Nothobranchius furzeri: one gene and its partner. The protein of the gene in region 1 purifies or fractionates together with the protein of each later gene. This does not show direct contact. Links are inferred from orthologs where the notes say so. Each region holds a gene or a part of one and is shown in the gene's direction. Other genes may lie near its edges.

What was found. The genes of interacting proteins can lie anywhere in the genome.
Region 2: the proteins of zcchc10 (region 1) and neurl4 purify together in Homo sapiens (co-immunoprecipitation; 3 studies listed by BioGRID and IntAct, with this or other methods). This does not show direct contact. The link is inferred for Nothobranchius furzeri from reciprocal best matches to the Homo sapiens genes ZCCHC10 and NEURL4.

Annotation. Positions count from the first base shown.
Region 1 is NC_091750.1:56,825,505-56,831,288, forward strand, and holds the start of zcchc10 (zinc finger CCHC domain-containing protein 10), read left to right. Parts: upstream 1-2,403; 5' UTR 2,404-2,488; coding exon 2,489-2,529; intron 2,530-3,236; coding exon 3,237-3,398; intron 3,399-3,957; coding exon 3,958-3,999; intron 4,000-5,784.
Region 2 is NC_091742.1:53,445,472-53,450,641, forward strand, and holds part of neurl4 (neuralized-like protein 4), read left to right. Parts: coding exon 1-44; intron 45-120; coding exon 121-206; intron 207-283; coding exon 284-446; intron 447-522; coding exon 523-733; intron 734-1,499; coding exon 1,500-1,576; intron 1,577-1,697; coding exon 1,698-1,776; intron 1,777-1,859; coding exon 1,860-2,029; intron 2,030-2,101; coding exon 2,102-2,230; intron 2,231-2,307; coding exon 2,308-2,453; intron 2,454-2,558; coding exon 2,559-2,777; intron 2,778-2,845; coding exon 2,846-2,944; intron 2,945-3,089; coding exon 3,090-3,242; intron 3,243-3,316; coding exon 3,317-3,484; intron 3,485-3,555; coding exon 3,556-3,714; intron 3,715-3,791; coding exon 3,792-3,971; intron 3,972-4,483; coding exon 4,484-4,577; intron 4,578-4,646; coding exon 4,647-4,754; intron 4,755-4,835; coding exon 4,836-4,980; intron 4,981-5,088; coding exon 5,089-5,170. UniProt on the Homo sapiens protein: Promotes CCP110 ubiquitination and proteasome-dependent degradation. By counteracting accumulation of CP110, maintains normal centriolar homeostasis and preventing formation of ectopic microtubular organizing centers.

The DNA of each region.
Region 1 (5,784 bases):
CGCACATCTCCCTCTACATTTGCATTTAAAGCTATATGCCATTCAACTTTGTTTTCTCTGTTTAGCTTCTATAGAAACAACAACTTACCCAGCCTGTATCTCTTTCATGGGTGTTGCACCAGATGTTGCCTTGGTGACTCTGTAGGCCAGATGTAGACTCAAATTACAATATTTCAGCACTCATGGATAAAACATTTTGCTTCACATTTAAACCCTGTCTCCATCTATGACTCAACATGAAACACCATTGACTCATGTGATCAGTTACATAACGCTGTGTGTGCATCGTGCCAGCATCACACCAGCATCATGTCTGCACGCATGTAAATAAGAGTCACCAAAGAACATCTGTAGATCCATCATCAGGACCAAGTCCTAAATGATGAAGTCAATTAAATTGTGTTTAATTCAGTTTATTTATATGGCATCAAATTACAAGAAGAGTCGTCTCAAGGCACTTCACAAAGTAAACATTCTAAAGCGGTTCAGTTCATTAAGCCAATCAGTAAAAAGTTTCCTATATAAGGAACCTAGCAAATTGCATGGAGTCACTGACTGGTGTCAGTGACTTTACAGCAATCCTCATACTAAGCAAGTAGCGACAGTGGAAAACTCCCTTTTAACAAGAAAAACTTCCAGAGGATCCTGGCTCAGTAGGAATTGCCATCCGCCACGACTCACTGAGGATCGAGGAAACAGAGCAGACACCCCCCACACATACCAGGAAAAGTGCTCTTTATTTATTTATTTAGGACAGTGCATGTTAATGAACATAAATGTAAATGCAGCTTACATGAATGTAAACATGCCAGATTATAGCCAAAGGCTAATTTCCATCTGTTGTCCTTAGACATAAAAAGACATAATGATTCATGAAAATTCATCATTCATTCATAATCAAAACTCCATCACCAAACCTACGCCATTCTATTCACAAATAAAACATCAAAACTATACAACTCGTACATGATCACACACTTGATTTGTCCATAACCAGTTTTTAACATTTGCCTTTAAACAAATTGAAAGTCGAGCATTCTCTAACGGGTTGAGTGCCTGTTAAATAGTGACAGGCACCAAAGTAAAATGGTAAATGGCCTGTATTTGACATAGCACCTTCTAGAGTCCTGGAACCTCCCAAGGAGCTTGTTGTGGCCACCAGCCTGGCCTCTTCAGGTGCAGGAGCCAGGATCACCCAGCCTCGGTGATCAGCCAGGCACCGCCCCTCTTCCTCCTTTCTTCCAGGCTGCTGAGGAGCACAGCTGAGCTAAATCATCTGGTGACCTACACCTGGGATAAAAAGGCCGTGCCTTCAGCAGTCTGGGAGGCAGCAGTGCAGGGGCTAAGCTGTTATTCATGCCTCATTTTGGTTTCAACCCCTTCATTTTGATGAGTCTTAATTTTAATAGTTTTAACTCTGAGTGATCCAAAGGGATCTTTGTTTGATGTCAACTTGGTTGACTTGGTTTTAAGGTTAACGTTGTAGTTTACTGACTTTGGGATTTTAAAACACTCAGTGTTTTTCTAGTGTGTCAGATTTTACTATCAACTTGAAGATTTTGGAAACACTTTCTGTTCAGTAAAACTTTTAATATAAGTTTTAACCAGGTGTTTTTAATGTTGGTAATTGGTCTTTTAGTGTTAACCTTTTTGAGAGTTTTTTTTTTGTTTGGCATTTTTTAAACAATGCTCACCATCTGTTTGCACTTGTTTTTAGAACCTTTTATAACAATTAAACCCATTTTAAACCCACTATCATGTTTCTTGTGTTCCCCTTCCTTCACATTTTAACACCTCCTGTCGGGGACGTAACAGTGCTTTACAACACAGTCATGCTCACCCTGGTCTGGTCGATGAGCTACATTCTAGCCACAGCTGCCCTGGGGTACACTGACAGAGGCGAGGCTGTCGAGCGCTGGCGCTACTGGTCCATCCGACCACCATCAGCAAGCAAGGGGGGTTAAGTATCTTGCCCATGGACACAACAACAGCGACAGACTGAGTGGGGCTTGAACCTGCAACCTTCCGATTATGGGACGAGCACTTAACTCCTGTGCCAGTGTCACCCCATACAAAGAGTAAATACGTAGACACCTCATGGGATGGCGCTGCCTATTGGAGCTGCCGAAGTGGCCGGCTGCCATCTTAGTCTCCATTCGGCACACTACCAGAGGCGAGTCTGCCTCTGTCAGTGTGTCTGTCAGTGTAATTAAACAAAATAAATAAACAAATACAAATCTAAAATCCTATCAGGTAGGCTAGAAAAGTCACTATAGTAATCCCACATGATCTATTTACAATTGTACGCGGGTTGTTGTAACCGTGGGATGCACAAAAACGGGCATAGTTGCGTACTCTGCATTGCCTTCGGAGAATGAAGAGACCCATCCAAAATGGCGACGACACGGGTGGTTACGTATTCTTTTCACTCCTTTACATTTCCGGAAATAGGCCCTGAGCTGACACCAACGAAGAAGAGACTTCAAACATGGCGACTCCCATGCATAGAATAATAGCGAGAAGACAAGCGTGAGTAAAACATTTTTAAACTTAGCGTAGCAATATTATTTTAGTATATTTTGTGTCTACATTTGTTACGTTACCACGTGCGGTCTATAGCTGACCTACAGTTTTACATTCAGCCTGTAAAGAACGAACTTGGAGGGACGGGCATCCCGCGGCTCTACGAAGCGCTACGTTGTGTGAAACTGTACTCTTCTGAAGCTGTTATTTATTTTTATAATACCCCAGTTTAAGTAAAAAATAATTTTGTTTACATCGATGTTAATGTCAATATAGTTATAACCAATAGTCGGATCAAAGTATTGAGAAGAATCGGGACTTGGGCAGAGTTTTGATAATTTGTGATTATTGGTGGGGTTTCAGTTTCTTTGGTGGAACACCTGCGAGTTTCTGAGTTTAAAATGAAGTATTCATTACTAGTGTATTAATTATGAGATGGCTACATAAAGCTTCGTGTAGCTTCTCAACTATTTTCTTTGCCCAGAGGTTCACGTCTTCGATGCATCATTCATTGCTTATAGTGACACCTGCTGGTGGAGTTAAACTACGGCAGCCATCATTTTTTTCATAATTTATACTGGAATCATTTGTTCCATTCATTATTAATTTTAAGTAATCTGACAACAAATACATGTATGTGCAAATGTCTTACTTCTGTAGTTTATGTATTTTTTCCTGTTTGGAAGGTATTTATTTATTTTTATTGCTTACAGGGAGGCAAACAAACAAAATGTGCGTTGTCAGAAGTGCTTGGAGATGGGACACTGGACTTACGAGTGCACTGGGAAACGGAAATATTTGCACCGACCGTCAAGAACAACCGAAATGAAAAAGAAGCTGAAGGAGATAGAAAACAAACCTCTCAGCATCACAGGGTGAGTCATCTCTGACAGTTTGAAGGACAAGTCATTTACACCTGGACTTCATGTAGGGTTGGGCAATAAATCGAAAATGTATCGTTATTGAAATTTCTGACTCTTATCGATAAATGTTCCCATGTCATTAAATTTGATAATAAAAAAATGAAAAGATGTGTGTAGGTTGGCAAAATCCATGTCCCTTTAAGAAGCTGTGCAACCTTGAGTGACTTAAAAATTTGATTCAACGTAATACATGTGACAGCCCCATTTATGGACAACTTTTGTTTCTGCGCATACCAAGGTGAAATCCTCAATATATCGTGATATTGATTTTAGGCTAGATCGCCCAGCCTAACTGTGCATAAATAAACCCACAAAAAATGATAATTATAACTGAGAACTCAGTTTTTACAGTGAAATTAGATTTATAAATAATTCTTAAATTTTGACAGTGTTTCAAATGATCTCAAATAGAAGTTGAATTTGTTTAACTAAAATACATAAAAATACAAACAAATGATTTTATCAATAGTGACTGAACTATATATAATGTTGTGATTTTTCCACATCACAGACCTGGAGGAGAAGCTTCCAGTGAAAAGAAAACAAAAAAGAAGTAAGTAATCTGATAATTTACTAGGGATGTGTATTGGTGAAACTCTGATAATACGATACGTATCAAGATACAGGGGAGACAAATTCGATATATCACAATATATTGTGATACATTCAGCCAGATGATATTAGCATTTTTTTTTGACAGAATTTATTGTAGGGAAACTCAGTCCAGTCCAAACTGAAATGTAACATGTTCAATATAAGGTATCTTATAAAGAAGAAGAAAATATCATTTCTATAGCGCCTCTCAAGATAAAAATCACGAGGCGCTTCACAAAAACAAAAAATGTAAAAATATAAAAAATAATTTAGAAAATGGTTAAAAATATATTTAAAATGAGCAAAAAATAGACAATTGTGATTAAAAAAAATGTTAAGAAAGAGAGAGAGAGTGAATAGGAAAGAGGGAAATCAGTGCATCCTGAGGAAGGTGGAATAGAGAAAGGGATTTATATTTCAATGGTGGAAACAAAACCCATTGCACACTGCTGCTACCTAGTGGTCGGCGTTTGAATTGCACCAAAAGAAAAGAAAATACACAAATGTTTGCATGTAAATTCCATGTGGCTTTTAAAGATCGATACAATATTGCAGGAAAAAATATCACAATATATTGTCATATCGATATTTTCTTACATCCCTATAATTTACTATATTGAAATATTTTAAAGAAGTTTCATAGCTGTGGTGTGGTCATTTCTAGTCATTCATTTTTGGATGTAAAAGATTTTTTTATTCATAAAGATGATATTTTAATTCTTATGTTCATATTTCTCAACTTGTACCACTTTAAACAGAATTGTGACTTAACAGTTCCATCTAGTGGCAGTTGATGAGAAGTGAAACCATTTTCTTGGTTATTGTCTGTTTTTAGACAAGACTCTTAGTGAATTTACATTTGATTCTTGTTTCTTTTGTACTGTGATAGTAGAACAGCTTCACATTTTCCATCAGTTAAATTGTTGTTACAGATTAATTGGAAAGTCAATTAAAAAAGTAATTATAAAAAGATTTAAATGTATCTTAGCCTGTTTAACCCTAACGCCCCCCAATTGGGTGCCTCTACAGTTTCATGTCCCAAACATCTACAACTGTCCACGTTCTCCAAACACAACTAAAACCACAATCAAACAGCCCAGATGGGAAACAAGGCCATTTTAAATGGTAATAAATTAAGATACAACGATCTTTGAACTTTATTTTAGAAGAGCATCTGACCTTCTCTGGTGTCTGCTGGGAAAAAACCCTTGAACACATTTAGTTGAGGACCCTGGAATAAATAAAACAATTGACAACATTTCCTAAATGGAATTTGAACTCACAACCTCCATCCTGTCAGCACTTTCACACAGGGCAGCTCTTCTAACATACAGTTCAAGTATTATTTTATCTTAATGTATCAAAATCCAAAAATTACTTTGTTTACAATCTAAACAGTTTTGATAGTAGCTGTAGTTGTGCTCGGGGACTTGGGACATGGAACTCCAAAGGCCCCCAACTGGGAGGTGCCAGGGCCCAAAGAAAAAAGGCCTTGGGCCTAAAGGGTTAAAAACTGTTCAGTAAAAAGTACTTAAATTCAATTTTAATGTGTTTGCAATAAATGCTTTTTTTTTGTTGTTGCATCAACTGGTGTTTACATGTGTTTCAAATAAGCTATTATTGGCTAAAGAAGACACATAAATAAGGGTATTACTGCTAAATCTCCAATACATTTGTTTGAAAACATGTACTTTTGCAGAAAATCATCTCATATGATCTCAGAGACAGGACAGCTGCAAAGAAC
Region 2 (5,170 bases), on another chromosome or scaffold:
CGCCTACCTTCAGCTGCCGTCCACCATGACAAACCTGCGCTCAGGTGAGAGAACAGCAGAGAACTTTGTTGGTTTGTCGTCTTTCTGAGGAGGTCTGATGTGTGGGAGGATGCTTTCCAGGGACGTGGATGATGACAGGAAACGGAGTGATGCACAACGGAACGACCATCCTGGACGAGTATGGACACAACCTGGATCGGCTCAAAGTAAGCAGGTTTTTGTTCGTTCAGCTTTCTGTAACTCACCAGTTTTGTTTTAATTCTCTTTTTCCCTTTGCTCTCAGGCAGGCGACACCGTCGGCGTTGTTCGGAAAGAAGACGGCAGCCTTCACTTCTTTGTGAATGGCGTGGCCCAGGGCCCGGCAGCATGGAACGTCCCGCCCAGCGTCTATGCCGTGGTGGACCTTTACGGCCAGGCGGCCCAGGCCACCATCATGGATGACATGGGTGAGGACCAGAGGGGGTGATACCGTATGACGTCACGTCTGTGATCCCTCTGACTGTCTGTCCTCTCTTGTCTCAGTGGACCTCCCCCCTCTGCCAGAGGACAGCTCAGAAGGCCCCACTGCCATGTCCCCAGGGAGCCCCTGCTCAGTGGTGGGGGCCACCACAACCAGCGACCTGCGCTTCCACCAGCTGCACGGCACCAATGCCGTCATCACCAACGGGGGGCGCACTGCGCTGCGTCAGAACTGCCGCAGCGAGTTCAACGATGCCATCGTCATCTCCAACAGGTAGAACAATCGATAACAGAGCAGTGATCCTGTACAGTAGCAGATATTCAGCGATGTTTTACTTCCAGAATCGTTATTTTGATGTTGATCGTTACTTTTTTAGGTATTTTGTTAATCGTGGCTCCAAATTCAGAAAGCGGAATCGGTCCCGCATGTGCTTGAATCGGTTCATTTCTACCTTTTTACCAACATTTTAAACCAAATTTAACTGAGATTTTTATGCACAAGTTGGTTATTTCTCTGCACAAACCCTGGTCTGTTAGACGAGAAAAGAATGGAGCTGACATACCTGGCGCTGCAGTCTGCTCCCAGCACGTTTCCTGCATTCCTTCATGAACACAGCTGATTTGTTTAATTTGGTGATGAACCACTGCTGTAGACACTAAGCAAGGCTGGGGAGACATTTCAGCTGTTAGATTAAGGTGTTCACAAGACGAACGCGCCGCAAGGAGATACGTTTTTGTTTTGGTTCTACAAACGGACACTAGGGGGTGCTAAAACCAAGCCAAAACTGCCCGGTCTCCCTTTAAATGGAATTACTTCAGGAGACGTGACCTCTGTGATTTTTCTTGGTTTTCCTCCAAACCGTTCCGCCAGTGGTCCGTTTTGAAGCTCAGGTATTGATGTCTGTAAACTTTCTGTTTCGTTCCGAGACACAGAAGTTAAGAACGCTGTACAAACGTTGATCAAGTTATTTTTCTACGGGTGTATTGAACAACATAAACCACTCTAATCTCTCAGACTGTGGCTTGTGTTCATTTTTCAGGTTCCTTCGGGACGGCGAGCTCTTTGAAATAGTTATCCAGAAGATGGTGGACCGCTGGTCTGGTTCAATAGAAGCAGGTGGGATGTTTTTCTGTTTTGTTGCCAAACTTCCACAGGTCAGCCTTCCATCATCATCATCAGGAGCCTTTTAGACCTTACGTCGGCGGCGTTTTGTCTCACCTCCTTCCCGTGTGCACAGGAGTGACCGCAATCAGGCCGGAGGAGCTGGAGTTTCCTAACACCATGACCGACATCGACTACGACACGTGGATGTTAAGGTGGCGCCTCTAAATAAACGTCCACTGAGATTTTGCTCATCTTGTGTTTGAGTCTGATCTGATTCTCTCCCCCCCCCCCCCAGTGGCACCGCCATCATGCAGGACGGCAACACGATGCGCAACAACTATGGCTGCGACCTGGACTCCCTTACAACGGGATCTCGGATCGGAATGATGCGCTCGGCGAGTGGTGACCTCCACTATTACATCAATGGCGTGGATCAGGGCATCGCCTGCTCTGGTCTGCCGTCAGGTAACGACCGACGGACCCCGACTAGTGGGGGTGATCGGCTGGGCTGAACAACAGCGTTTGCTTTTCTTTCAGAGGTGTACGCTGTGATCGATCTGTACGGCCAGTGTGTCCAAGTGTCCATCACCAGCTCCTCGGGACCACTGGACAACAGCCTCTGCACCAGCAACGTCACCGAGAAGAGCTTCCCCATCCACTCCCCAGGTGCACACCCACCAGTGTCCATCCCAGTTATTCCTGGAACCATCTCTTGACGTTTTTTTCTCCTTCTCTGTTTGCAGCTGCAGGCGTGGCCCATCACTTCCACAGTAGGCATGGTAAGAACGTGGTGCTGCTCGGCGAGGGCTGCCAGGCCATCAGAGTGGGCGGTTATGCTCACGGCATCGCCTTCAGTGCAAAGGAGCTCAGAGGAGACGAGCTGTTTGAGGTTTGCTGAAAATAATTCTCTCCAATCTCCGGAGCGTTCATATATTCACGACTATGTCTCCCTTGTTCTTCGCTCCTGATTTTTGCGGGTCGCGTCTTCCTGCAGGTGAGGGTCGATGAAGTGGATGAGCAGTGGTGCGGTTCGCTGCACATCGGGCTGACTACGCTAGCACCTCCGGAGCTTCCGTCCTGTCCTGTCTCCGGTCTTTCCCCTTCCCTCCCACAGCTTCGGACCAAGGTCACCTGGCTGCTCAGTGGCTCCGAGGTCCGCCGCAACGGTGCTCTGCAGCGCCAGAATTACGGCTATTCGCTGGAGCGACTGACGGTGAGCGGTAATGAGAGCTTGTGGTCAGACAAAAACCTCAGAGCTGAATTCTGTTCACCTGTTTCCAGGTGGGAAACCGTGTGGGTGTGAAAAGGTGCAATGATGACACCATGCACATCTTCGTGGATGGAGAGGACATGGGACCTGCTGCTACTGCTGTGCCTAAGGTACTCTCTCAGACGCTGCCTTCTGCTCCTTTTAGCATCAGATTCACGAAGCACTGAGTAATGAATGATGTTTTTCCTGACACGCCTGACCTCTTTTCTTACAAGGACCTTCTTTTCCTTTTTACCACCTTCTGTCTCTTTTCAGAATGTTTACGCAGTTTTGGACCTGTACGGACGGATAACAGCGGTCTCCATCGTCAGCTCCTCTCTGATGGAGGACTCTGAGAGCGTCAAGGCGCCGTCTCTCACCTCGGACAGCTGCAGCGAAGGGGAGGAGGACAGCAGCCCGGTCAGAGAGGTGAGGCACCATGCCCACGGGGAGTAGTAGTTCCAGGGTTTGATTACGGAGGATAACTCTTCTTGTTTTTCCAGGCCGAGAGCGAGTCGTGTTCTTCAGTGCCGACAATTATGACATTCCTTGAAAACCACGGCAAAAACATCCAACTGTCCAACCAGAGTCTGACAGCAGCCAGAGTATCGAGCTACAACCAGGGCCTGCTGGTCACCGCCCAGCCGCTGGCTCGTCAGCAGCTCTTCCAGGTTTCCATTCTGCTCTCATCTTTATTTTAACTTTAACAACAAATCTTTTATGGTGTCTCTGCCGGCATCAGTTTCAGATAGACCGTCTGAACCCGTCATGGACGTCGTCCCTGTCGTTGGGGGTGATCGGCCACTCCCCAGACCGACTCAACTTTCCCTCCACGGCGTGTTGCCTTAAGCGCTCTGCCTGGCTGCTGCAGCGAGACTCTGTCTTCCACAACTCCCTAAAGGTGAACACATGAATCTGACCTACTGTCCTATCTCTGACAAAAACCTCACAGATGATCTTATCTCCCCCCCCCCCCAGATATGTGAGAACTTCGGTCCTAACCTGGACACTTGTCCCGAGGGAACAGTGTTGGGTCTGCTGGTGGACACCAACAGTTGTCTCCACCTCTACGTGAACAGCATGGACCAGGGCGTGGCCGCGCAGGACATCCCCTCACCCTGCTACCCCTTCATAGACCTCTACGGCCAGTGTGAACAGGTGAATTAACATTTCATCCAGTGTCAAAGTTTATAAATTCCAATTGTGGAGATAGGCTTCTGTTTGGAGAAATGCAGAGCTAAAGGGCCAACGGCTAGTCCTGAAACCTGCAGCTCTGGGGCCACATCTGGAAGATCTGATGAGCAGCAGCATGGGTTTGGGGGACCAGAACCTATTTTCCCAAAAAATATATGTAAAAGAAAATACTTTTGATATTCTGATGAAATAAAAAGTAAAAGCTACTCAACGTTTAGTTGTCTAAATGTAGAAAAGGCGTAAGCAGCGAGGCCTTCAGATTTAGCTCCAACAGGAAAGATTCCTGTCAACAGTGCCGCGACGAAGGATTTTACCGTTTCAACCGTTTTCCGGGCCTCACTCGGCCTAGTTGTTAGCTCATCAATCCTATCGGATTTAAACCCTATGTCTCTAAACAGAGGCTACAACAGGTGAGATGTGATTATTCAGAGTTTTTTAAGAAAACAGTTTGCTAACACGTCCTTTCCTGCTGACAGGTAACCATAGTAACCAGCACAGTGGCAGCTGTGGGGGCAGAGGGCGGTGAGACTCGTTGTCAGGCGGACATGGAGAAGGCGGACATGGTTGACGGTAAATAAAAACCAACTCCTCTGCGTTTATAGTGATTTAGATCTCAGATGACGTGAATTGGATGTGCAGGGATCAAAGAGAGCGTGTGTTGGACGCCTCCTCCAGAAGCTAACCCCAACAAGACCTGCGAGTACCAGGCTCTGTGCTCCCGCTTCAAGGACCTGCTTACCTTACCAGGTCGGTTCAAAACCTGCGTTTTTATCCTCCTTCCCGCCTAACAGGTGAAACTAATGATTCTACTACCGGCTATTTGTTAAGATGGGTACTTCAATGAGGACGCTAAATGCAACCTGTGCTACTGCGAGTCCTGCCACAAGCTCCGGGGAGACGAGGCGTATTACAAGAGGGGAGAGCCGCCGCGGGACTACGCTCTGCCGTTTGGATGGTGCCGCTTCGCTCTCAGGTGAGACAACCGTCTCCTGTTTTGTTAAAACCTACTCGAGACCTTTGAACAGGTTAGAGAGTCGAAACTAAAAGGAAAAGAACTGAAGCATCTGTGATGTCTTTTCAGGATAAAGTCCCACTGTGAGGTCTCTAACGCCATGAAGAAGTGGCATATAGCATACCACGGCACCAGCGTAGGAGCCCTGCGA